7 linked regions of the Danio rerio genome follow. The protein of the gene in region 2 interacts with the protein of the main gene of each other region in a pairwise test. Links are inferred from orthologs where the notes say so. Each region holds a gene or a part of one and is shown on either strand. Other genes may lie near its edges.

Region 1 (4,031 bases), on a different chromosome or scaffold from region 2:
GTTAGTACTTGGATGGGAGACCGCCTGGGAATACCAGGTGCTGTAAGCTTTTGCTTTTGTCAGCTAATACACTTCCCAATGTCTCCGTTTTAGTGCTTGTATATTTAATACAATTTGACTGCTTTGTTACCTACATTTAGTTTTCTTCGTGGTAGCTTACTGCTTTCAGAGCGGCAAAGGGACAGCTCAGCTGCGCCATTCTGTCTTTCTCCTCCAGAGGGCGACTGAGAAGCTTTTCAATTCAATAGTTGCTTTATTGGCATGACAAATGTTACAAATGTTTTGCCAAAGCATTTATAAAGTTTACATTACAGATAAGAAAAACATACATATATAATAAAGACACAGTAAATATATTAGTATATATATATATATATATATATATATATATATATATATATATATATATATATATATATATATATACACATATATATATATATACATATATATATATATATATATATATATATATATATATATATATATATATATATATATATATATATATATATATATATATATATACACACACACACACACACACACACACATAACAAAAATATAAATAATATATCATATTATTGAATATATCATATATTATTATTTACTTCTCTCTCTCAATTCAATTCAATAATTACTTTATTGGCATGGCAAATGTTACAGATGCATTGCCAAAGCAGTTCTAAAGTTTAAATATAACGTAACATACATATAAACACAGTGCATAGTAGTAGTAAAAATATGATATTTATATATAGTAATTAAATAAAACCATATGTTATTCAATATATCATAACATTATTCAATATATCGCATTAACATTCAATAGATCATGTTATTTTCAACATATCATATTATTCATAAAAATCAACACAAAAATAATTGATCAGAATAAACTGTACATTTAACAGTAATAAAAAACAATAGTAATCAGTATCTTTCTCTCTCTACTCTTGTAAAATAAGTATTGCCAGATATTGCAAGGTAATATTACAGTTATTTTACCTCACGTGTATGGTCTTCTAATATGCCTTCTTGGTTACATGCATAAGTTAGATGTAGATTAAATATTGAATATTTTTAAGTCCTGTATTTTGTCTGTTTTATTTCACAAAAAATATACAATGTATGGCAATAATAATAGGTTTTGACATCAAAAGTGAAAGAAAGGAGAATCATTTCGAAGCGTTTTGTTCGTAGTAATCCTAGGAGACGTCACGGCAACGTCATCATTACGCGCCCAGTTCGCTGCTTTGCCTCTTTTCAATGAAACTGTGGTCAAATAACTAAATATTTGGACATCGGAAAGGTAAATAATGCTACATTCGTCATTTATTTCATAATACAATTGCACACAGAATAATATGTATATTACATGCATATAAAACATGCACCCTGTGAGCAGTTTTTACATTGTGGCTAGTTCGAGTTTCTCGTGGCTCGTCAACACTGATCACTGAGATGTTTTGCTTTTCTTTTTTAGATGCCTTTGCCTCCTGCTTTACTTGCACGACTCGCTAAAAGAGGGATCGTGAAACAGTCCGACCACGGTAACATAACTATGCTTGTTTAAAGAGACAGTTTACCCAAAAATGATAACTCTGTCATCATTTACTCACTCTTTACTTGTTTCAAACATTTATGAGTTTCTTTCTTCTGTTGAACTCAAAAGAATATATTTCGAAGAATGCTGAAACTAGTAACCATTGACTTCAATAGTAGGAAAAGCAAATACTTTGGAAGTCAGTGGTTACTGGTTTTCATTTTTCTTAAAATATAGTTATGACTGATACTGAAAACCAATGACTTTCATAGTATTTGTCAAGTCAATTGAGGTAATGTTGATTTTATATTCGCACATTCTTTCAGTGACAACTTGTGACACATTCTCTATATTGTTTACCACACTATTTTGTGTATTCGGTCTGAAATCGCATGCAAGTATAGCACTATTTGTAACAATGTTTTACTTTTGATAGTCATTGGCTGCTAGTATGATTTCACCATTTAAAATTTACAAAGAATATATTTCTAAAATTACGTTATTATGGAGAAAGTCTGAATGTGCAAATTTAAAACCAACTTTAACCCAATTGGAAGTCAGTGGTTAAAGGTTTGCATAATTTTTTGAAATATGTTCTTTTGTGTTTAACATAAGGAAAAAACTCATCATGGTTTGAAACAAGTTAAGGGGGAGTAAATGATGACAGAATATTTTTGGTGAACTATCACTTTTAGTCAATAGGCAATTAATAAAGTGTAATTTGGTGATTCCACTCTCTAATATACTGCATTTTATAATTTTTTATCTTCAGAAGCAGAGGAGGAGATTATTGCTGAAGACTATGATGATAACAACGTGGATTATGAAGCTACACGGATTGAAAGTTTACCATCGAATTGGTACAAAGTTTTTGATTCAGCCTGGTAAGCATTTCATGTTTCAACCTTTATTTTATTTTCCAGTTTTATGAGCTGAGTTTTGCTGAATAATATAAATTTTCCTAATGCTACATTGCAAACCTTTAATAAGATAAAAAGCAGTGCATATATTTAGGTCTAATCTATAAATATTGCTGTAGTAATGGGCTCTTAGATGACTCTAAAAATATCAGTGGTAAAATATTTTTTGGTAAAAAATACAGCATTATAGATGTGACAAAGCTAAGAAGGTCTGAATGCACAGAATATTTGTTAATATTTGTCTTAATCAATAAAACTTCCTGATTCTGAAATTTGAAAATATAACTGAATGAAAGAAAATCGTTTGAAGGATTTTATGATTACCACAAAATTAATTGTCATTGCATGGAATAAATGTATAAAATATAATGTAAATCATAAGTACATATTAATTACAAAGCTGTGATGAATGGGTTTATTACCCTGAATGACATTCTAAAAATATTTCACCCTTATTTTGACATGCTTTTTAAATGTTATTTTAAAGTAGACAAATGTATTAGCTTTCATAGTATGCTATATATATATATATATATATATATATATATATATATATATATATATATATATATATATATATATATATATACACATATACAACTTGTAAATGTAATTTGATACAGGCACTAAAATGAAATGACTTTGAATAACTACCATATCCATGTTAATCCTACATGCTAATCCTAAAATCCTACAAAAAACATAGTCATATCATGATAAATGCCCCAAATTTCAGATTGAAGCTCATTACATATAAATAATTCTTTACATGAAATAAGCCTTATATGTAATTTTTGTCCTCAGTGGGCTTCCTTACTACTGGAATGTAGAGACAGATTTGGTGTCCTGGTTGTCCCCTAATGACCCTGCAGCTGTCATCACCAAAGCTGCCAAGAAACCGAAAGGTAAGACACAAGGCATGGAACAGTATGTAACATAGATACTCTCATTACATCTCAATTTGCATACCTCAAACAAAAAATGAGTATGTTCAAAATTGTAGTGTGTTTAAATGAGTAGGCTATTCCAAAGTTGTCTAGAAGGGCTATTATTTTCTGTAGAACTGCAACCACTGATAAAAAGCGTTAAAAACTATAAACATGGTGGATGCACAAGACCAACATTTAAGTGGGGGAGACTTAGGTAATGGGGTTTAAATGGGTTGCTGCTTGAAGGGATACATCTGCAGCTGGAAGTTAACAAGAATTATTTATATTATTAAATGACCCATTAATTGTATGTTGTTATTGTCTACCCAACCCTAAACCTAACTCTCACCATAATGTAAAAACTGTCATTGTAATGAGAATTATTTATGTGATTTGTTTAATTACTCATTAAATTGTGTTTTATTAAAGTCTACCCCAACCCTAAACCTACCCTTCGCAGTAATGTAAGAGTATAAATTATTGTTGTAGTGTCACAAAGATGATGCTATATTTATGTGAATATATGCAGCTGCATCCCTTCTAGACTTTACCGTTCAAATCAGTTTAAAAAAAAAGTTTAGTTTTATACTTGTTTTATTTCATCTGCATCAGCATTGTGAACTTTTATAAAGTTTT
Region 2 (3,500 bases):
GCCATTTCACATGTGTATCTTAAAAATATTAAATGCATTAAACCTCCAAGAACACCATCTTTTAGTGTTGTAAGTGTAATGAGGTATCATTGATTAAATGTGTATGGTGAGTGATGGCATATTGACGTTTTGCAGTATTTAAATGCTCTCCTTCTTCATTGGAAAGGAAAAGCTGAATAGATGTGTGAATTGTCAGCCGCCATTCTTTATACTAAAACAATTAAATGACACCTCAACAACGAAACAGTGGGTCACATTAGAAAGAAAATGCTTTAAGAAATGTCCAGGGTTTAAACACTGTTAAATTAACTAAAACAGTTTTTTACAGTAAGTCTCTTTTGAAAAATATCTGCATGATATCAATTAAAAAATCATGTATACTTCTAGAAATAACTTTACAAACCCTGCCTGATTGTATTCTTGGTTACTGCATTTTGGTTCACTTTATATCTTAATTTTTTTTTAAATACATTGTCACTAATTTACAATTTATTGTATTATTTTTGTTTTCAAATGTCAACTGATCAACTCCAAGACTTACCTTTTCCAACCTGCCTGACACTGGGACGAGTTTTGGCGGAGGTCCACCGATGTTACCATTCATGCCTCTGTTATCAGAAGGTTCTTCAGTGTCACTGGATGGGCTGCATGTGCTCACGTGATTATCATTCCAATCACCCACTGGCTCATCACTCAAATAGCCATAGTTGCCATTGCCAGCCGAGATGAGGGCAGAAGACTTGTTCTTAGCGGGTAGAGGAGGCTGACTGTTCAGAAGCTGCTCCTGTGAGCTGGAGCTGCGCAGTGTGCCCTCTTGTTGTCGAAAACAGCTTGTAGCTGGTGTGGGTTTGCGATATCTGGCACCAAAGTCACTGGCGGCTCGACAGTGGCGTTCCTGGTAGGTACGTCCAGAGATGAGGCTGCTGACAGAACCCATGGTGCCAGTGACATCTACTGTGGGGGAGTGAGACACTGAGCAGCACTGCTGGACGTCAGTACTGGGCTTTGGGTGATCAGTGGGTACAGGCAGTGCCTGAACTAGAGCCATGGTGAACACCCGACCAGGACACACACTCTGTAGAGAGAAAAACAGTGGACAAGGAATAAAGATTTTGTAATTGGCATGGATGTCATTTATCCTGTAAAATAGATTATTCTGTTGGTCATAATTACACTAGCTTCATCATTTTAAAACACATGAACATGTTGATGTCACAGCTTAAATTTCTCATTGTACTCAGAGTATAGCCACAGGTTGCTTTTCAAAAAAAAAAAATCTTTGTATCTCGATGGGCTTTTTTCAACAGGTAGTTACAGAACTCTGTTCTAGGAACTAGCCATAGAGAAGTGTATTTTCACCTAATGTAATATTCTTAATTTGCAATGCTTTACAGTGACAAGATGGTCAAAACTTTTTTTTTTTTGTGTAGCATTCAACAATTTTAGCAACTACAGGATGGAGGGCAAAATGTTGATCAAGTGTGCATAAACTGTTTACATGTATTTTTCAAAAATGAAGTTGTCGGTGTTTCATGTGGATTGTAATCAGCCAAACAACATACAATTACATTGGGTTAGCTCAGTGGTTCTCAAACTTTTTTCACCAAATACCACCTCAGGAAAAATGTGTCTCTCCAAGCACCACCATAATGACCAGTATTAAAATACAGTAGCGCAGTAGGCTTTATTAAGCAGCTACATCACTGCACAGTGCAAAAGCGTGGCAGATTAAGTCTTCTTATTATGAATATTTATTATTGTCAGCCACTTTAAACATTATAAATAGTTTGAACATTAAGATTGTACTGTGCTTACAATTAAAAAGAAATAAAGAGTCACAGTTTAAATCAATATGTGGCACTGTTCTTAAAAAGTAAACAGCTGTACTTAAAAGCATTAACAAAAAGTAGCCTATCCATCAAAACCTGGTAATGTTCCTTGGACCTCATAAATATAAGCTATATGTCATAATATTCATATATGAACTCTTTTTGATACATTTTGAAATATATGTTGAATGTATATATAAATTATTTGTATATCTTTGAAATTTAAACATTAACTTATATTTTAAATAAAGGAATTGGATTTACATATTTAAATTAGAAATTAAATCTGCTTACTGTGCGTTAGAGTAGGCTTTGTGTGTCATAAAAGCAAGTGATTAAACCATACCTGTCAACATTGGGATATAAAAATACGAAATACGCCCCCAACAACCGTTACAAATATGTGGAGGAGATTACATAACTAACATTAGAAAATTGAAAATAAAATGAAAGGTTCAGCCTTTTAAAAAAAATTTACTGATCACATTGGTGTTATCGTACGCATTAAAGGGTTAAAGTATGTTCATTTTTTTACTTTAGTTATTCAGAAATTCCACTAGAAGGAAGCCTTTTAATAAAGCCCTCCCTTATTTTTAACTGCATTAAAGTTTATATCACATTTACTATGTACTTAATGTAGGACTCTTCTTTTGAAAACAGGAGACGCAACAAAGCCAGCCACAGTTTGTTTTCCATATTACAGTTTTTCTCAGTTGCTTTGATACATTTCTCACAACACTATTTACATTTGCACAACAGTTAATGCATTTCTCAAAACAAATTGTCATTTGTGCACATCATAGTAGCAGTCTATCATTCTTTCCAACAGATTGCAAATGCCTTTGGACATGCATCAATTGCTTTCATATAACTCTCTGCTCTTTTATAACATTATTATTTGTTAATGTCATGTCAGTCAAGATTAACTTAACTTGTGAATACTGAATATTCATAAAACTAATAGTTCTCATTTCATTACCTGAGTCATTACATACAAAAATGTATGTATTTTCTTTTCTTTTACAATGTTTTGTAGTTTCAAGGCTTTCACTTCCTCCACCAGGCCCATGATCGTCTTCTGCTGTTGTCTAACAACAGAGACTTCTTCTGTCAACATATCCAGCGATCGCTTGATATCATCAACCTCCTCCATCTGTGTGGTAATCTTTTTTGGTGTTTTATCGTTCTTTCGTTTTTAATATTTTTTTTGTAGCATAACCTCAACACCAGCAAGCACCAGCAAACACTCTCTCCACCGGAAGGTTCGAAATTAAATGTTTAAAATGTAATGTTTTTGCCGTTTAGTCTGTGGCAGTTCATCTACAATGCAAACTTAACTTCACACAAGTTGAAAAACAAATTGCACAATAATGATAGCGCTCTTTGCAGGGATCGAACAAACAACTTTTAGGTTTCTAGCTCTTTAAATTATCCATGTAACCAACATGATTAATGTTTTAATATTACATACTGTAACTTTAAAGGCCATAACATAAAACAAAACTTCTAAAAAAAAGGGCAAGCAAGCATTAGCAGCACATTGCATATCTTGTGAATTGGTGTATTAGAGTTTATTTCAAAGATGGGCATTGAAGGGTATATATTTAGTCTGCTGTTGTGTGCTAAGAGCAGCCTTGCCATGTGGAATAATCTGCAAAGAGCCTGCCAGTC
Region 3 (3,460 bases), on a different chromosome or scaffold from region 2:
TGAGTTCCTGTGTGCTGTTCATACACTCCTTACACACACACACACACACACACACACACACACACACACACTACGCAACTTGTGTAGCAACTGACTAAACAGATAGGTGTTTCCTCTAGTGAGAGTGTGTCTGAGCCTCTATCAGGAGTCTATTCCAGAGTTCAGGAGCCATACATGAGGAGACTCGACCTCCTTTAGTGGACTCTGCTGTTCAGAAGTCCTGAGTTTAGAGCTCTTGAAGAGCGGGTTGGGCTGTAGCGGGACAGAAGCTGGGTCAGATGAACAGGAGCTGGGTTACTTACAGCCTTATAGGGAGAAAGCAAGAGTTGATCTACACTGACCTCTCTCCTCTCTCTCTCTCTCTCTCTCTGTGTGTGTGTGTGTGTGTGTGTGTGTGTGTGTGCAGGAGCTGTTCTGTGTGTGTGGCGCACTCAAGCGGGCACGGCTGGCCAAAGTGGGCGTGGCTGAGGTGGTGTTTGTGCGCAAGGAGGATGCAGTCAGTGCCTACAGGAAGTACAACAACCGCTGTCTGGACGGTGAGACACACACACACACACACACACACACACACACACACACACACACACACACCATCATTGCATCATTAATGTCTGTAAGTCTCTGCTGGCAGAAGCTCAGTAACGCTCTGTCTGTGTGTGTGTGTGTGTGTGTGTGTGTGTGTGTGTGTGTGTGTGTGTGTGTGCGTGTGTGCACAGGTCAGCCGATGAAGTGTAATCTGCACATGCAGGGCAGCGTGATCACGTCTGACCAGCCCATCCTACTGTAAGACCCTCTCTACTACACACACACACACCTGTCTACTACACACACACACCTGCACTATTCTTCCTCCTCCAAGACGTTTTGTCGCGAGTGTTGAACAAGCGGCTGATTCCTCCGTCAGGGCTGAGATCTTTCATTAACGTTTGCATTGTACTCAAGCGGCAGGAGGAGTGTGTGTGTGTGTGTGTGTGTGTGTGTGTGTGTGTGAGGAGATGACGCATGACATGAGATCTCTGTCAGTGTTCAGGCCAGGTTTGATCAGGTGCTGTTCTCCTGATGTGGTATTGGACATGCAGCTGCGGGTGAAGCTCTGCTGAGGGTCTGTGCTGCACATCTCCCCTCACTGGACAACACCGTGTACTGACTCCTGCAGACTTTATATCAGAGGAACTCTCGTATTTTAGCGCAGTGACACCAGAAGAGATGTTAGAATGTGTCTCGTGCGTCAACACTGAATCTCTTCTTTAATCTGTGTATTCTTGTGTTTGCTGATATTAAATTGTGTTTGTATTGTTGAAATGTTCCTGCCATGATGATAGCCTTATATGCTGACATGGCATTAAAGAACATTACATTACATTACATTACAGTCTTCCTCCTCCTCTTCCTCCTTCTCCATTTCCTCTTCCTCCTTCTATTTCTCCTTCTATTCCTCCTCTGCCCCCTTCTCCTCTTCCCCCTCGTCCTCCTCTTCCTCCTTTTTCCTTTTCCTTCACTTTCACTTTTCACATCCTCCTCCTCTCCTCTTTTTTTTCACATTCTCTTTCTCTTCATCCTCCTCATCACCTCCTTTTCCTCCCTCTCTTCTCCTTTTTCTTTCTTCTACTCTTCCTTCTGTTCTTCCTGCTCTTCCTCATCCTCCCCTATTCCTCCTTCTCCTCCCCTTGCTCCTCCTCCTTTTGCTCCTCCTCCACTTCCTCCTCCTGTTCCTCCTTCTCCTCCTCCTCCCTTTGCTCCTCCTCCTTTTGCTCCTCCTCCTGTTCCTCCTTCTCCTCCTCCTCCCCTTGCTCCTCCTCCTTTTGCTCCTCCTCCACTTCCCCCTCCTGCTCCTCCTTCTCCTCCTCCTCCCTTTGCTCCTCCTCCTTTTGCTCCTCCTCCACTTCCTCCTCCTGTTACTCCTCCTCTTCCTCCTGTTCCTCATCCTTCCTCTTCCTCCTCCCCCTGTTCTTCCTCTTCCTCCTCCTTCTGTTTCTCCTTCTCCTCCTCCCCGTTCCTCCTCCTCTTCCTGTTCCTTCTCCTGCTCTTCCTCCTCCTTATCCTTTTTTTCCTCCTTCACTTTCTCTTTCACCTCCTCCTCCTCATCCTGTTCCTCCTCCCTCTGTTCCTCATCTTTGTCCTCCTCTTCCTGTTCATTCTCCTCCATCTCCTTTTCCTCCTCCGTATCCTCTTCTTTCTCCACTTACTCTTCCTCCTCCTCTTCTTCCTCTTCTTTTTCCTTTTCCTCCACTTTCTCCTCCTCCATCTACTTTTTCCACATTCTTTTCCTCTTCCTTCTGTTACTCCTCCTTTCTCCTCCTCCTTCTCGTCCTCTTTCTCCTCCTGTTCCTCTTTTTCTTTATGTTCCTCCTCATCCCCTGTTTCTCCTTCTCTTCTGCCTTCTCTTCTTTTACTTTTCCTCCACTTACTACTCCTCTTTCTCCTCCTCCTCCTCTTCTTCTTCCTCATGTTCCTCCTTCTCTTCCTCTTCCTCCTGTTCCTCCTCCTTCTCTTCCTTCTCCTCCTCCACCTCCTCCTCTGATGTCCTCCATCTTGTGTCCTGCAGGAGGTTGAGTGATACTCCTGGTTCTCCGCTGTCCGCACAGAAGGCCTCCTCCTCTTCCTCCTCCCGCTCCTCCAAGTCCTCGTCTGCAGCTGAGGTGGACCCGCAGACCATCTTGAAGGCGCTCTTCAAGTCTTCCTCCTCCTCCTCCTCTTCCTCCAGCCAGACGGCCAGCAGTGCCAGCGAGACACCGGCCGCTCACGCCACCGCTTTCCGCATCAAGATCTGACACACACGCACACACACACACACACACACACACACACACACACAGACACACAGACACACAGAGGCGGTGTGTGTGCTTTTGTGAGCTGTGCTGGTCAGCTGCGCCTCCTCATGTTTGTTTTAATGATTGTTTGACTGTTCTGTGACTCCAGCTTTCTGTTTTCTCCAGTAAAGTCTTTCTTTATAATCAGCCGCGCCTCTGCTGCATTACTCTCCTCCTCCATCACTGTTAGCATTAGCGCTAACGTCATGCTTCTGCTCCTCGAGGAGCTGATCACACTCCGCACAGTGCTCTTGAGTTTCTGACACTCCCACTGCAGTGTGCTGATGCTCTTATAAGCTGAATATTGATCAGGGGGCGGGACTTCAGTGTCATAACCTCATAGCTAACTAACAGCAAGAGGGGCGGGACTAAGAATAATGTGTCTGAAACTCAAGCTGATGTCATCAGAGAAGGAGCCAATCCCAATGCAGGAGCTGAGACTGCAGATTAACTGGACACGGTTTACTCAGGATTCATTTACTACTACAGATCATTCATGCAGCTTAGTCCTTTATTCATCAGGGGTCACCACTGCGGAATGAACCACCAACTATTCCAGCATAAGTTTTACACAGTGGATGCCCTTCCAGCTGCAACCCAGTACTAGGAAACACCCATACACCCTCATTCACACACACACACTACGG
Region 4 (3,500 bases), on a different chromosome or scaffold from region 2:
TTTGAAGCTGATCAACTCACGCTGTGGTTGACGAAGTGGGAAATGTTTCCATAATGAGCAGCATCCACGGTATACTCATCGTCCACATAATCCAGGTCAAACAGGTAAGTGGCGCCCTCTTTATCGTATACATGACCTCGGCGTTCTGCTTCTTCTGTTGTGATGATCTAAAGCAAAACAGGGAAAAAGAAGAAAATTTAACAACTACAAAACTTGCTTCTTTGATAGACAGCCAAACACAGCCACAGCTATCAGACGGAAACTAAACTGTTAGATAGCTGCTAGACAATGCCATTATCTACTAGTGAAGAACAACATGTCCTGGTGATAACAGGGCAGCAACGACAATGTTCAACTGAAGAAGAGTTGAAATACAAAAATTAAATACAATAAAATGTAAATAACTACAATATTAATCGACAAATTATTGATCAACTGTGTGCTGTGTATAGAAAACATCAGCTAACTTTAATAACATTATTTTTAATGAATTTATCCAATTAAGTGAAAAAAATAACAGCTGAATAACACTTTATTTGGCATTTAACATTTAAAAATAGTTGCATTATAATTATTATATAATAACATAATTAGATCAGGGTTTCTGCAGGTTTCACCACCATTTTTAGACCATTATGAATAAAATTGTAGATTCATACAGGGCTAATTGCAAAGGATTTTTTTAAATATCCCGTTTAGAAAAGATTTTCACTTGCTCTATCTAAAAATTATTAAAACTCAATACATTCAATAATACAATAATAATTTAGTTATTATACATTTATTTTATATTTTTTTATTAATTTTCAAATATATCCATTTACAAACTATAACCCTTACCAAGAATAGAACAAAGCATAGCTAAGCTGTCAATTGCTTCAGTCTACAATAACAAATAATAATAAAAAAATAAATATTGTATCCTCAGCAGCAAACAAATGGAGAACTTTAAAGCAAATGCTAGTGTGAGGAATGTAATTAGTTGCTCTTTTTAAATAAAAAGTTAAAAGTTTTATTGAGATTGGGATTGCCGGTGAATGTATGGGTGTAATGGTCAGATACATGAACAAAGGAAAATTAAGACCTGTTAAAAAAGATCCTGCAACACAACATTTCAGTAGATTTAAGACTTTGTAAGGCCTAAAATATAGCTTTAGAGATTGAAGACATTTTAATACCCTGCGGAAACCCTGTTAATTAATTAGAATTATGTTTTTTTTTTTTAAGTGTTACTTTTTGCTGAAATTAGGAACTTTAAACCAATCCCCAAACTAATAGCATAAATAATCAGAAATAAATATAACAAACAACCTAATTGGTAAAATCAATAATAAAATTTCACCGTTCAAATAATTATGTTTTAATCTAGTGAATAGAAAAAATAAATCAACAGATTTACGGATTATCAACTAATCGTTAGTTACAGGCCTTAAATAAAAATAATAGAATGTTTACATGCATCTAATCCAGACTACAACTAACAACCCAACTCAATCCCTCTCACCTCGCCGACATACTCCATGACGAAAGTGTTCTTGCGAATTCGCTCCATGGTCCGCACTCCCCATCCCCTGCCATTGTCCGTCCTGAAAATGCAGAGCGAATACCGGATGCCCCTCTGCACCACTCTGTTGGAACAGTCAGGCCCACAGCGGCACCTCTTGTTGCATTCATAAATGGGCAACCCAGGCCGAATGCGGACCTGACCCAACTCATTGTATGCAAACTTATGCTGGGACGCTCCGGCACAGCAACCCTCCACAGGGCTGGCCAAACAGTCTGTGCACTCACAGCCCACGGACACCTCGTTCAGCAGGATCCCATCTCCAACTTTATAGTCATTAATGTAGGTGAAGCTTTTGGGTGGACCCTCCAGATCCACCTGGTTGCGGACAGAGATGTAGCCCTTATGGGTGCCCAGGCTGTTGAGGTGAGTCTCCCATTGTTTGAGGGTCTGCCGGAGTTTCGCTCGCTGAGTGAGGTGTGTTACAGTGGCGGGGTCTAGACGACGAGGGGCAGAACGTTTATTCTGTCTCTGCATCTCTGCATTCAGATCCTCCCAGAACTGAGAGAGCAGGTTGACGCACCTCAGGTTCCTCCGTGGTTCCCATGTGTTTCTGGATTCTGGGTAGCCTTTCCATTTCACCAGGTATAACTCCTGGGACAGAGAGGGAAAAACATGGAAGAGAAAGTAGGATACAGTTTTGTTTTAAGTATTTTTACTGTTTAAATTGCACAAATTTTACCGCCATTTCAAGATTTAAGAGAAGTAGTTTGTGTCTCCAGAATGTGTCTGTAAAGCTTCAGCTCAAAACACTCGTCAGATTATTTATTATACATTTTAGAATACTGGAATTTTTTGCTCTGAACATAATGTAGCTGTTTTTGTTGCCTGTACCTTTAATGCTAGTTCTCCCCACCCACCGCTCCCACGTGCTTGTCAGAGTGTGCCTCAATCTCCGCTTCAGCTGCATCGGACACAGGGCACAGCGACAGACAAGAAGGAAGCAGATCTCGCGGAATGTTTGTGAGAAATATTACAAAAAAAACCTCGCAATGATTATTTGATGTGTGATTTGTTGTGGAGTTAATTTAAGCTCTTTGGTGAGTCACACACAATGCTGTTACAAAGTTCACACTCACATATTTATATCTTAAATTATACAAGTTCAATAGATATTAAGAGTGAAATGAGAGATATATACTCATTGCAAAAAAAACATTATACAAATATTTACAATTGCTAGATACAGGGGATGGACAATGAAACACTGGCCAAATTGGTGTTGGAGGTTTCATGGCTAAATTAGATCAGCCTTGTGGCCAATGTTCATTGATTGCATATTCCACCAGTAAGAGCAGAGTGTGATGGTTTGATTGGAGTAATAGCACAGTTTTGCTTTAAATATCGCAATGCACACAACAAGTCTTTGTGATGTGTCAAGAGCTACAGCATCCCGGATAATGTCAGATAATGTCTGTCTGAAAGGCATGTCTGTTTGCTAGGGCTGTGCGATTATCGAAATCGAATCACAATTTGAAACGTTACCATTACTAATTGCGATTTCGATTACTAGCACAGCCCTAGCACCCAGACATCCCTTTCAGCCAGCTTACCTTTGCATCCACAGTTACTCTTGTTGTCTTACTAGCCAATTGAGTGAGCACACTTTCGTTCTGCCCAATCAAAATTAAATTTCGCAACCGAACTATGGCCACAATAAAATAAAAAAAAAAGAAAACAAACAGGAAATTGCTGACAAGTGGCATTATGGCATCTCCTGCTTCAGAAGCATTGATAGACGAATTACTATCAAAGAAAAATAGCACTTGTAATATGGGAATATTTTGGTTTCAAAGTCATAGACAGCGCAGAATGTTGCCTGTCACAGCATTGTTGCCACGGCTTACAGATTATTGAGCTAAAGCTTGACTACAAATTAAACCGTTAATCAAATTGCAATTACCATATCCTTCAAAAAAAATTGTTTTGTATTTTG
Region 5 (2,334 bases), on a different chromosome or scaffold from region 2:
TTAATGGAATAATTAGAGTTAAATTTGTTAGTTCTGCTTATATTTTGATATTTAGTTTGATATTCTTTTGTAAAAAAAAAAATGTAATCTTTAGTAAAACCGTTAAAAAGAATAACATTTTAATAATTTATATTTAGTTTAACTAATGTTGTCTTTGCTAATTAAATGCAATTGGATTTGCTATCAAAAAGACGTTAAGGCAACCTCAAATAAAGAAAAACCTATATTGAATGTCATTTGTGCCATTACAATTTTAAATACTGGATTTTACGTTTGAATATGCTTAATTGCATTTTTAATCTGATGTTATTGAATGCATTTGTGATTGTTTTTTTGTGATATGTGATCTAAATATTGATCTAATTTATGTGGTGAAGCCAAATTGTGTATTTTTGGACACGTTTTAGGTTATGATTTTACATAAAATTTGTGTTTGTATGTATGCATCCATACATACACCCCCCACAAATCTCTCATTTAAATGTAATCTTTTCTATAGGATGCTTTACAATATTATCTTTGTGCATATACATTAGATTAGTCAGTACTGAAGCCAAATCTGGAGCCAATCTAACAAAATCACCTATGATAACGGTCCAAAAACTAGTACACTCAAATTTATTTTAGGGAAAAATGTTAAAAACTGTCAAAAATAGCAAACAGCAATTGCTCTTTCATCAGCCTGTACAGAATGTGGGTTTATGGTGTTTGTCTCCCTCTGCAGGTGGTGAGGACGGCACTGCTAGATGCTGCAGGTGTTGCATCTCTCTTGTCCACCGCTGAAGCTGTCGTCACCGAGATCCCCAAGGAGGAGAAGGAAATGCCAGCTGGAGGAATGGGAGGCATGGGTGGAATGGGAGGAATGGGCGGCATGGGCTTCTAAACTGAAATCTGCACTGACTTTAGTAGAAGGGTTGTGGGCAGGGGACATGATTTGCCCCTTCCCTTCAGCTTGGGAAAAAAAAACCTGCCGTGCTGGTGGTCTGAAAATGGAGCAAAAGAAATGGACCTTACGGTCTTTCATCCTTCCACCCACCACTATGTCCAATTTTCTATCTCTACTCGTGGCTGAAGACGATGTCAACCTACTGCTTTAAAGATAAAGCTCCTGATCACGTGACCAGAGAGGGTCTGAACGCCTTCAGTTTGCATCATCAGCGTCTAATGGGAAAAGTGCATTTAACATTTTGCTGTTGTATGAATGTCATTGTGCATATGACTGGTTCTGAATAAGTCCATCTGAAGGGGCTTTAAAAGCCAGACGTTCATGTTAAAATGTGGTAGGAACATTGACCAGTTGTATCTATATAAAAAAGAAAAAAAAAGCAAATTCCACTTGATCAGTTCTTGTTTTGTAAACTGTCTGTCTGTTTCATATAAAAATAAAACCCTCGTTTGAGGATTACACAACTTTGACAAAGCATGTGCTTGTTTTGCCTTTCAAATGTTACTTTTAGTTTTCTACATGAAATGGGAATCATTTGATATCTGGTTTAAGGGGCCGTTCTTTCAGTCTTCATCTTCAGTCGCATCTTTCAGTCAAGATTAGAGATTGGTTGAGTGGAGGGAAGGGTGATCTTGTTGCACAGCAGATTTAAACAATATACTGAGTACATGAAAACAACTGGTGTGAAGTATGAATAACTCTTAAGTAGTGCAACAGAATAGTGTTACAAAAATTGCTGTTTGTCATGAGAATTACTTGTTTGATTTGATTTGATTTTTTTTTTTAAGCTACAACGATGATCATTGACTTTTTTTTTTTTTCCTTTTGTACAATGTAGTCATTAATTCTGTATTTTTTATTTAATAAAATTTAACATTCAAAGAGAAATTAGTTATTGTCTTTGTGATGCATTAAAAAATATTACGTGCAGAATGGATCAGTTTAATACAAAGCCCAGGCTGTCATGCCACACATCACACTTACCCTGTGAATGTAGTATATGTAAGCATAGGAGTTGTTTATTGTTGTTGTTGTTGGACCGGCCAGGGAATTATTATCAGCACAAGTACACCACACTCTTCCACCCACCTCCCGATCCTTTTCTCTCCCATCTCTTGAGGGAGAGAAAAAATAATAATAATAATAAAATGAACAAATAAATTTGAGAGACAGAAAAAGAGAAAGAATAGTACAAAAAGAGATGTAAAGACCGAATTATAATGTGGGAAAGTATTAATAAAATTTCTACTAAATAGTTTTTATTTATTTTTAATTAGATTAAATATCAGAGACAGTTTTTTAGCTCTCCCTGACCCCCTCTCCCCTCATGTTTACGTTCTGATGAAGGTGTTTTTGGGTAGTGGTTTCAGGCAAGGGAGACATCTTCA
Region 6 (4,110 bases), on a different chromosome or scaffold from region 2:
GAATAAAAGCAGTTATTAATTTTTTTAACACAATTTATGAGACAAGATTATTAGCCCCTTTAAGCAATTTTTTTTTCTCGATAATCTACAGAACAAACCACCGTTATACAATAACTTGCCTAATTCCCCTAACCTGCCTAGTTCACCTTATTACCCTAGTTAAGCCTTTAAATGTCACTTTAAGCTGTATAGAAGGGTCTTAAAAAATATCTAGTAAAATATTATTTACTGTCATCATGGCAAAGATAAAATAAATCAGTTATTAGAAATAAGTTTTTAAAACTATTATGCTTAGAAATGTGCTGAAACAATCTTCTCTCCATTAAACAGAAATTGGGGAAAAAAATAAACAGGGGCGCTAATAATTCAGGGGGGCTAATAATTCTGACTTCAACTGTATATGGTGTATATGGTGTATAAAACAAACAGAAGATTAAATGTTGTGCTACTTATGGAATCTATAATATGAAAAGATATTATAAGAGGATAACAAAACAAAAATAAAAGGTTAATAAATAAATAAATCTGTTATCCAGTTATCAACAGAACATATATCGAGACATCAAATTAAATCAAGCATATTAATATTCTGTTTGTGACTAGAATATCATTAGTGTATAGAGATTTTTCATTATTCACCAGCATTTACACACAGATTAAACAAATATTAAAACTCTAACTTGTCAGTCCGCGGGTCTTTATAGACGTCTCCAGAAGATCTTTGAAGACGTTCACCACCTTGGCTGGCACAATGTCACCTTCGATGGTCATGCGGGCATCGTGCCACTCCTGACTCGGGTTGACAAAACTCTCCAGCTCAAGCCATTGGTGGAGCTTCTCCGGCTCACGAACAGGTGAGAGGAGACGAGAGCCAGTCAGTGTATAATAACGCCACTGACGTGTCCGTCTCTCTTTATAGCCCATCAGGCCCTGCAGAGGCACTGAGATCAGGTACAGGGTTGGAGAGAGGACCTGCACAAGTCACCCAAAAAAAACATCAAACTAATCAGTACATCTATTCTGTTTATCTACTGTATAATATAAGCTTTTCTTACTCTGACTTTTTGTCTTTTGTCTAGTCCAAAAATATTAAAATATAATTTTCTAGACCTGGGGTGCCACTGTAAAAACCTTTAGAATATAGATCTGAATCAAACAGTGCACTCTGGCCTATGTAAATGCTGCAAAAGTACCGCAGCAAAAGTATTTGTAGCTGCATGCATGTTACATAATAACACCAGTTAAAGTTTACAACAGTAAATAGGAAAAGTACAATTTTGACACCATTTACTTGTTTCAAACCTGTATGTCCTTCATTCTTCTGCGGTACATTAAAGAAGATATTTTAAAGAATGTCCAATGATAATGGTGCCAAAATTGGTTCAGCTCCCCATTGACTTACCTAGTAATTTTAATTATAGAATTTAAATGTTGGGGTTGATCTATACCTTTTTAATAAATACTACTGCTTACTTGTATGGCAGGGTTGTATGCACATCTCCCTCTGAGTAATGCAGACCATTTTGACATTAAAGCAGGCTGGTCCTGAATTAGATTGTGGACACAAGAAAAAACATGATGTTATAAATCCAGCATTATAATGCAGTTAGTATTTTTTATATAGATGAGGCCTATGTGAAGCATTACTTTGAGGCTGGCGTTATGAACTCCAGCATTTGCGATGGACTGGAAGCGAGCGTCTTTTGAGCTGACCTCCGTAGTAAGATCTTTGATGATTTTCTGCACATCTTCGACACACTTTGAAACCTGCCGATGTCTGAGATCCACCTGACGATACATTTAACATCAGAAACAGCAGAATAAACCAAAAAAGGAATGTTTTTTTTATTTTTATTGAATCTATCTGAAATACTACACTAAACTCAAATAAAATGAAACTAAATAAAAAGAAATCCTCTAGCTATTTGTTTATTATTTTTATTTTATTAACACAAATTTTAAATAAAAAATAAAGAAAATAAACAAGAAATAAAAACATTACACCACTAAGACAGCATAATAAACAAAATAAAATAAAATAAAACAAGTTATGCAACTACAAATAAAATAAAATAAAAATATTTTATTACCATACAAAAATAAAATAAAACAAGAAATGAGGAATAAAAAGAATAAAGAATTAAACATATTTTCATCTGACTACAAATAAATAATTGAATAAATAAATAAAATAAATTAATTAAATTAATAAATAATAAATAAAAAATAAACAAATAAATAAATGCTATGCAGCCTGTGTTAAGAAAAACTGGATAGTCTAACAACAAATAGATATTTAAGTAAATAACAACAACAAAAAAAACTAACAAACATGTCAATTATGAAGACTATGGTAAGATGTAAAGATTGTGAGTAGTACAGCATATTCGCATATAAAACATTTAAGCTAAAAACAAGACAATAACACATTCGATTAGAGCAGAACAAACACTGAATAAAATAATTTTTAAAAACTCTAAAAATAAGCCATCTAAAATTATTATTGTTTAATTAAAACACCAAATGAAATGGTTATAATAAAAACTAATAACACATTAACAGTTTAGTTTAGATCTCGGTGCTCAATAAAACCAATGACAGCATAAGTAGGTCACCTGATTTAGCAAATAGTTATCCAGATCTTCATCTGTGCAGTTGGTCATGTTGTAGTCTACGCTTACAATAAGCTCTTTTCAGATGCTATTTTAAGTCTTCTTTTCAGCAGCAGAGCTTAATGTTGTGTCTTTGTGGCCTTTTTTGCAATTCTTTTGTGTCCCTGTGTACGTGCAACACAAATCGCACAAGGGAAAAGCACTTCAGCAGAGCCATTGATTTCACAATATTGATTCCCGAGATGCTAAAAAGCTTGTATGTTCCTCTGGGCAAATTAGTTCACCAATTGCTTACTCACATGACCGATCACACTCATTTGAATATAAACATTTGGTTTTAATCCAGCAGACTGCGCCATATGCTGATTATAAACACGCAACTGGATCACAATTGTTGTTGTTAATGTTGTTTATCAACTTACGTGAGTTGGAATTTATTGAATTAAAGTATGCTAAATTTAACAAAAAAAAAAAAGCATTAAAAAGAGGCCATTATAAAGGCTATATAATGTAAAACTACACCAAGCCTCTGGATTCTCATACTTCACATACTAAAATAACATGAACAAAAATATGCATGTATTGTAAACAATATATATCAACAATGAGAGCAACTGTGGGACAAATCAAATATTAAGAAATAATCAAATGCTTAAAAATAATATACAATAACTTGCCGGCTTAATTTTTCAGTTTGGAGCCCTCTGTAGCCTAAGTCAAAAACTCATTGACCACTATACCAATTGTGGATGAATTGGATGACCTTACATGGTTCAATTCAGTACAGATCAGGTGATGATGATATGAAAAAAACCCTGTCACAATCACTTGCACTACAGCCTTTAACATACATTGACTGTCTGTGGTGAAGATAAAGTGAACAAATGTCTAAATAAATAAACAAACTAAATGTTATATAGGTATTGGAAGTGGAACTTACAGCACAGTATAGTCATAATCAATAAAGAAATGTCTGATTGAATGAATGAACTAATTATTAAATAAAGGAAATGTTTTGTCAATAATGGAAAATACGGTAATGTTTTATTGTAGGCAGAGAATTATAAACACTTAATAGAGTTTGAAGGTTGTATAACAAAATAATAAAAAATATATTATTATGGAATTTACTGTGAGACATTAAAGGGGTAGTTCACCCAAAAATGAAAATTACCTCACCCTTTACTCTCCCTCCCCTGTGGTTTTATGAGATTATTTTCTGTTGACCAAGAAGATATTTTGAAGAATGTTGGTTGCTGGCACACGTTGACTCCTATAGTAGGAAAACAAAAATAACTAATGAAGTAACAGAATATCTTATTTTGTGTTTAACAGAAGAAAGAAACCTTTGGTTTGGAACTAGTAAATATGAGTAAATGATGACAAAATTGTAACTTTTGGCTGAGCTATTCCTTAAAGATTGCAGCGTGTGTAACAAGATCAGGCAACAAGGCAACAAAACACACAGTCATTTAACAAACCAATCAATACATATTTT
Region 7 (4,179 bases), on a different chromosome or scaffold from region 2:
TGCTTTGAGTTTTATGATTACCACCTTGCAGAAGTACCACTTTTTTATGTTTGCAGCTTAATAAGCAAAAAACGCAGTTTGTTGCATTGCTCAGTGAGCAATAACTGTCTCAAACAACTGTATATTTAACTGATGAAATATGCTTAAAATAGTTAAAATAAAACTCAAAAACCTCAAAATGAATCATACGTAAGCATACATGATATTACCAGACCTTTGAGTTTAAGTTAAATAAAAATACAAATTCATTTCAACTTTTATTTAAAATTATGTTGGACCAACTTAATTTCACTTAATTGTGTAAATAGATTTTTCTTGGTGCTAAACAAATTTACTAGATGGAAATCCTGCCCTCAATTAAATTAAGCTTTTGTCTGTGCGTGTGTGTGTGTGTGTGTGTGTGTGTGTGTGTGTGTGTGTGTGTGTGTGTGTGTGTGTGTGTGTGTGTGTGTGTGTGTGTGTGTTTGTGTTTGTGTTTGTGTTTGTGTGTGTGTGTGTGTGTGTGTGTGTGTGTGTGTGTGTGTGTGTTTGTGTGTGTAATTGGGAAAGCTAATGTCACCAGTTTAATGGCAAAGTATGAGTGATAACATTGACACTTTTTATGGACACACATTTCTATAAAAAACATATGCTAAAGAATTGAAATAAATTAGGTATGTTGTGGCTTTTATAATAAATCAAATAATAATACGCCAAGAGAAATGAGCAATACAGTTGCTGTATGTGTTACAAATTGATAACAGAGTTGTATATAATGAAAAACATATACTGACAAATATATATATAAACATGATTTTTAAGCTATATAAGACAATTTTGGTAAATAATATTATTTGTTATAGCCTGTAACATAAACACTGTAAAAAATCCTGGTTGAATCAGATTAAACCTATGAGTCCATTGAACTCATATAATGTTAAACTGACTTAAAACAGCTTTCGTAACTCATAAAATTAAGTTAGAACATGATTCACTTAGTTTAATAAGTTACAATGACATAAAAACATATGCTGTTACACATATACTTACACATAAATTTGAATGTTAAAATACTTTTTGTTTTGAAAGGTCTAATTATTTAGACCTAATTGGGAAACCATTAAATTAAACTAGGTTAAAAAATCAACCCAATACTTGAGAGAAAAATGAAAAGAAGGAAAGAAAGATGTTAACATTATTTGTATTATTAAATATTATTACTTTTTATAATCACTAATACTTTATTGTTGAATGTGAATAAGATTAGAGACACGTCTGCTCACTAAAAAATAAAGCAACGGAATCCATCAAAGCTGAACTCCTCCTTTAGCGGGAGTTGATTGGCTGATCCACAGGCTGACAGTCAGATCCAGTCAGTCTGCTGGACGGACGACGATCCTGACTAATGAAGAGAGCAGATCTGGAACGGACTGTGCGTCTCCACTATGCAATGAACAAACCGATGGAAAGTCGATAGGCGAGTGCGACTGTGTGCATTCAGACCCGTTATCCTCAGCGCGTTCGCCAGTTCAGAACTTCCAGCTCAACTCAACATGTAAAGTGCGACTGGCACCAGACGTACCCGACAGATTGGTGCTGTTGAACTGTTATCGGCATGATTCCGCCAGCAAACATGATTCAGGAGGACACGATGGGCAAGGAGAACGAGCGGGACCACCGGGAGCCTCAGTCCCCCTCATCCATCAGCCAGCAGGAGTCAAAGGTTGGAGAAACACACACCTCAGAAACCGACAATTATGTGTGCGGTTTACACTTTATTATTAGAGAGAGCGAGGGTTTTGGCGTTTTGTGAAACTTTGATTTAATGGTTCATAGTTTTACTTGTCTGCTTTATATTAAAGTGGTTATATGTCACTTATACTCGTGTAAACTACATTACGTCAAATGTAAAGAGTAACGTTTGTGTTGTAAATCTTGTGACACTGTAACGTACTGTGTTACTGAAAACATGGCCGTTTAAAATCCATGGCAAGCTAAGGATTTACTTTATGAAATAATTACTCCACACATTAAACAACAACACTCAAGTTTTATTTTATATACTTTAATGTAATATGTTTAATTTAATATGTAGGCCTAACATTTTAACCAACATTTAGTATAAAAATAGTTAACTAATTAGTAAACAATAGCATATTGAACCACCAATACACTAAATTAACCATCGTTTTACTACAAAAACATGTTTTTTCTTCGTAGTTAATCAATGGTAACGCCAAATTAACAATCGTTTTGCTACACTAATGAGTTTAACCATGATAAAACTGTGGCCGTACAAGTAAATACACAAAAAAACATGGTTAATGCACTTTCAATATATGCAATAGATCATAGCTCATGATTCAAGGGTAATTAACACACAAAAGGCTTTCACACAATGGAGCTGTTTCAGATTTGGTTCATGATACCAGTTCTGCTATAAAAATGATCGCAGGTCACATGTCAAAACATAGATACAATTTTAACTTCCTACCCCACAAATTAGGGCTGCACAGTATATCGGTTCAACATCGATATTGCAATGTAATTGCATAAGTCACATCGCAGGATCTGCAAGTTCAGCTTCAGTTGATTCATCCCTCACAAAATTTGAGTGGAATTATAGCTGACCAAGAACTATATTTTTAGTGATTATAATAGAGTGAAAGAGTGCTTGTTTGATTTGTTTAGAGGCCTTTAAGTAATTATAACAATGAAGATATATTGCATTAACTTTTATAAATTGACGACTATGCAGTTTTATTTGCTTACATTTGATTATTTAGCTTATACTCGAATATAGTTAGACTCCACAAAAAATGCAACAAAATTTAAGCAGGTTATCTGGCCTACGAGATCATCTCAGTTAATATAAACGTTTGAGTTATTTCCAAATTGAGCTATTCAAGTAATCTGGTGAAATTAATATTATAAATATTGTAGAAAATCAAAATGTCGCAATGTCAAATTTTTCCAATATCGTGCAGCCCTACCACAAATAGTTTTCTGATTGCCTTGTGAATAATTTTTTTCCCACAAAGGAATTTTTATTTTAACTGCAAATTTTACCCCAGTTTTGTTATTTCTAATTCATTATGCAATACAAAACTCTTTAACTCAATTTCAAGCGTTCATTTGTCCTGTGAAATACTGAATTAAAGTGATTGATGATAGTTTTAGTATTAAGAATATGTTGATTTATGTTTACAAATAACACTGTTTAATCATCTGAGCAATTATAGTTCAGATACTACTCCTATACTGGCAGTAATATCATTTGATTGATATTGTCTGCGTGCAGTCGGGCTCATGTGAGAGTATAAGTTATATTTCATTTCGCTAGGGGAAAATTGTGCTGCATCTGTATTTGTTGCAGTGATATTTAGTTTCTGCTCAACCTTGGTGTATGATTTGTTGTGTCTGATTTAGGAGTTTGTAGTGGGTGGCGTTTTGTCACATTGGTGCTGAGTTTGAGCTCATCTGTTTTTCTGGGTCATCAGTGGCCCTGAGTTCCACATTCAGCCCAGAAATGTTGGACGGGTCACTGTGCTTTTAGAGCTCAATGCCAGTTGGGAATTTTGCATATTTATTGTCACTGAGTCAGTAGAGATTGGGTGCTGAAAGGCAGTAGTGCTTTATTTATTTATGCAGTTGTTCAGAAAACTGATTCATTATTTACATTTACATTGTGTCATTCTCCTTCTCCCCATGGAATATGTGATGCTTCAGTCAAATTAATAAAATATTTGTATGAAAAGAAAAAATATATATACAATTGCCATATGGAGTTAAATGTTGACTTGATCAGAAGTGTCGTGAGGAGGGATTTGTGTGTAATTGAGAGCTGTTATTTTGAGCATTAGGAGCACTAATATTATTTATCAGAAGTGCTAGAATCAGATTATTAGGTTTGAGTTGTTTTTAAAAAGAAGAGTTCTTTTTAAAGAAACAAAATCCACATTATATTTGATTTATGAGCTTTCATATAAGTTATTTTGGACCGTTCCATTGCAGAACACTCCTGAGAATATGCCTAATAAGGATGAAGTAGTCTCCTAAGAAAGATTATGACTCATTAGTTGTTAATGGATGACTTTTGATTCACAATAAAAAAATATATATATATTAATATTTTAATTTCCTGAGCTGGTTGTGCTCCACAGAATTTCCAAGAAGCAAAAGGGGATGAAACCATCACTA

What was found.
Region 1: the proteins of lzts2a (region 2) and pqbp1 interact in binary tests that used the Homo sapiens proteins (3 or more experiments, as listed by UniProt). The two-hybrid records come from large-scale screens. The link is inferred for Danio rerio from reciprocal best matches to the Homo sapiens genes LZTS2 and PQBP1.
Region 3: the proteins of lzts2a (region 2) and poldip3 interact in a two-hybrid assay, tested with the Homo sapiens proteins (2 studies listed by BioGRID). The two-hybrid records come from large-scale screens. The link is inferred for Danio rerio from reciprocal best matches to the Homo sapiens genes LZTS2 and POLDIP3.
Region 4: the proteins of lzts2a (region 2) and suv39h1b interact in binary tests that used the Homo sapiens proteins (3 or more experiments, as listed by UniProt). The two-hybrid records come from large-scale screens. The link is inferred for Danio rerio from reciprocal best matches to the Homo sapiens genes LZTS2 and SUV39H1.
Region 5: the proteins of lzts2a (region 2) and hspd1 interact in binary tests that used the Homo sapiens proteins (3 or more experiments, as listed by UniProt). The two-hybrid records come from large-scale screens. The link is inferred for Danio rerio from reciprocal best matches to the Homo sapiens genes LZTS2 and HSPD1.
Region 6: the proteins of lzts2a (region 2) and mab21l3 interact in binary tests that used the Homo sapiens proteins (3 or more experiments, as listed by UniProt). The two-hybrid records come from large-scale screens. The link is inferred for Danio rerio from reciprocal best matches to the Homo sapiens genes LZTS2 and MAB21L3.
Region 7: the proteins of lzts2a (region 2) and stac interact in binary tests that used the Homo sapiens proteins (3 or more experiments, as listed by UniProt). The two-hybrid records come from large-scale screens. The link is inferred for Danio rerio from reciprocal best matches to the Homo sapiens genes LZTS2 and STAC.

Annotation. Positions count from the first base shown.
Region 1 is NC_133183.1:43,445,467-43,449,497, forward strand, and holds the start of pqbp1 (polyglutamine-binding protein 1), read left to right. Parts: upstream 1-1,231; 5' UTR 1,232-1,312; intron 1,313-1,486; coding exon 1,487-1,553; intron 1,554-2,318; coding exon 2,319-2,430; intron 2,431-3,270; coding exon 3,271-3,371; intron 3,372-4,031. UniProt on the Homo sapiens protein: Intrinsically disordered protein that acts as a scaffold, and which is involved in different processes, such as pre-mRNA splicing, transcription regulation, innate immunity and neuron development.
Region 2 is NC_133188.1:20,766,707-20,770,206, forward strand, and holds part of lzts2a (leucine zipper putative tumor suppressor 2a), read right to left. Parts: intron 1,076-3,500; 5' UTR 1,049-1,075; coding exon 539-1,048; intron 1-538. UniProt on the Homo sapiens protein: Negative regulator of katanin-mediated microtubule severing and release from the centrosome. Required for central spindle formation and the completion of cytokinesis.
Region 3 is NC_133178.1:302,981-306,440, reverse strand, and holds the end of poldip3 (polymerase delta-interacting protein 3), read left to right. Parts: intron 1-406; coding exon 407-536; intron 537-716; coding exon 717-783; intron 784-2,545; coding exon 2,546-2,771; 3' UTR 2,772-2,960; downstream 2,961-3,460. UniProt on the Homo sapiens protein: Is involved in regulation of translation. Is preferentially associated with CBC-bound spliced mRNA-protein complexes during the pioneer round of mRNA translation. Contributes to enhanced translational efficiency of spliced over nonspliced mRNAs.
Region 4 is NC_133183.1:27,652,840-27,656,339, forward strand, and holds part of suv39h1b (histone-lysine N-methyltransferase SUV39H1b), read right to left. Parts: exon of another isoform or gene 3,110-3,500; intron 3,003-3,109; exon of another isoform or gene 2,159-3,002; coding exon 1,505-2,158; intron 168-1,504; coding exon 21-167; intron 1-20. UniProt on the Homo sapiens protein: Histone methyltransferase that specifically trimethylates 'Lys-9' of histone H3 using monomethylated H3 'Lys-9' as substrate. Also weakly methylates histone H1 (in vitro).
Region 5 is NC_133184.1:33,966,192-33,968,525, reverse strand, and holds the end of hspd1 (60 kDa heat shock protein, mitochondrial), read left to right. Parts: intron 1-724; coding exon 725-883; 3' UTR 884-1,834; downstream 1,835-2,334. UniProt on the Homo sapiens protein: Chaperonin implicated in mitochondrial protein import and macromolecular assembly. Together with Hsp10, facilitates the correct folding of imported proteins.
Region 6 is NC_133184.1:37,578,258-37,582,367, reverse strand, and holds the start of mab21l3 (protein mab-21-like 3), read right to left. Parts: upstream 2,801-4,110; 5' UTR 2,664-2,800; coding exon 2,616-2,663; intron 1,789-2,615; coding exon 1,648-1,788; intron 1,546-1,647; coding exon 1,474-1,545; intron 973-1,473; coding exon 681-972; intron 1-680.
Region 7 is NC_133192.1:26,131,154-26,135,332, forward strand, and holds the start of stac (SH3 and cysteine-rich domain-containing protein), read left to right. Parts: upstream 1-1,379; 5' UTR 1,380-1,594; coding exon 1,595-1,702; intron 1,703-4,179. UniProt on the Homo sapiens protein: Promotes expression of the ion channel CACNA1H at the cell membrane, and thereby contributes to the regulation of channel activity.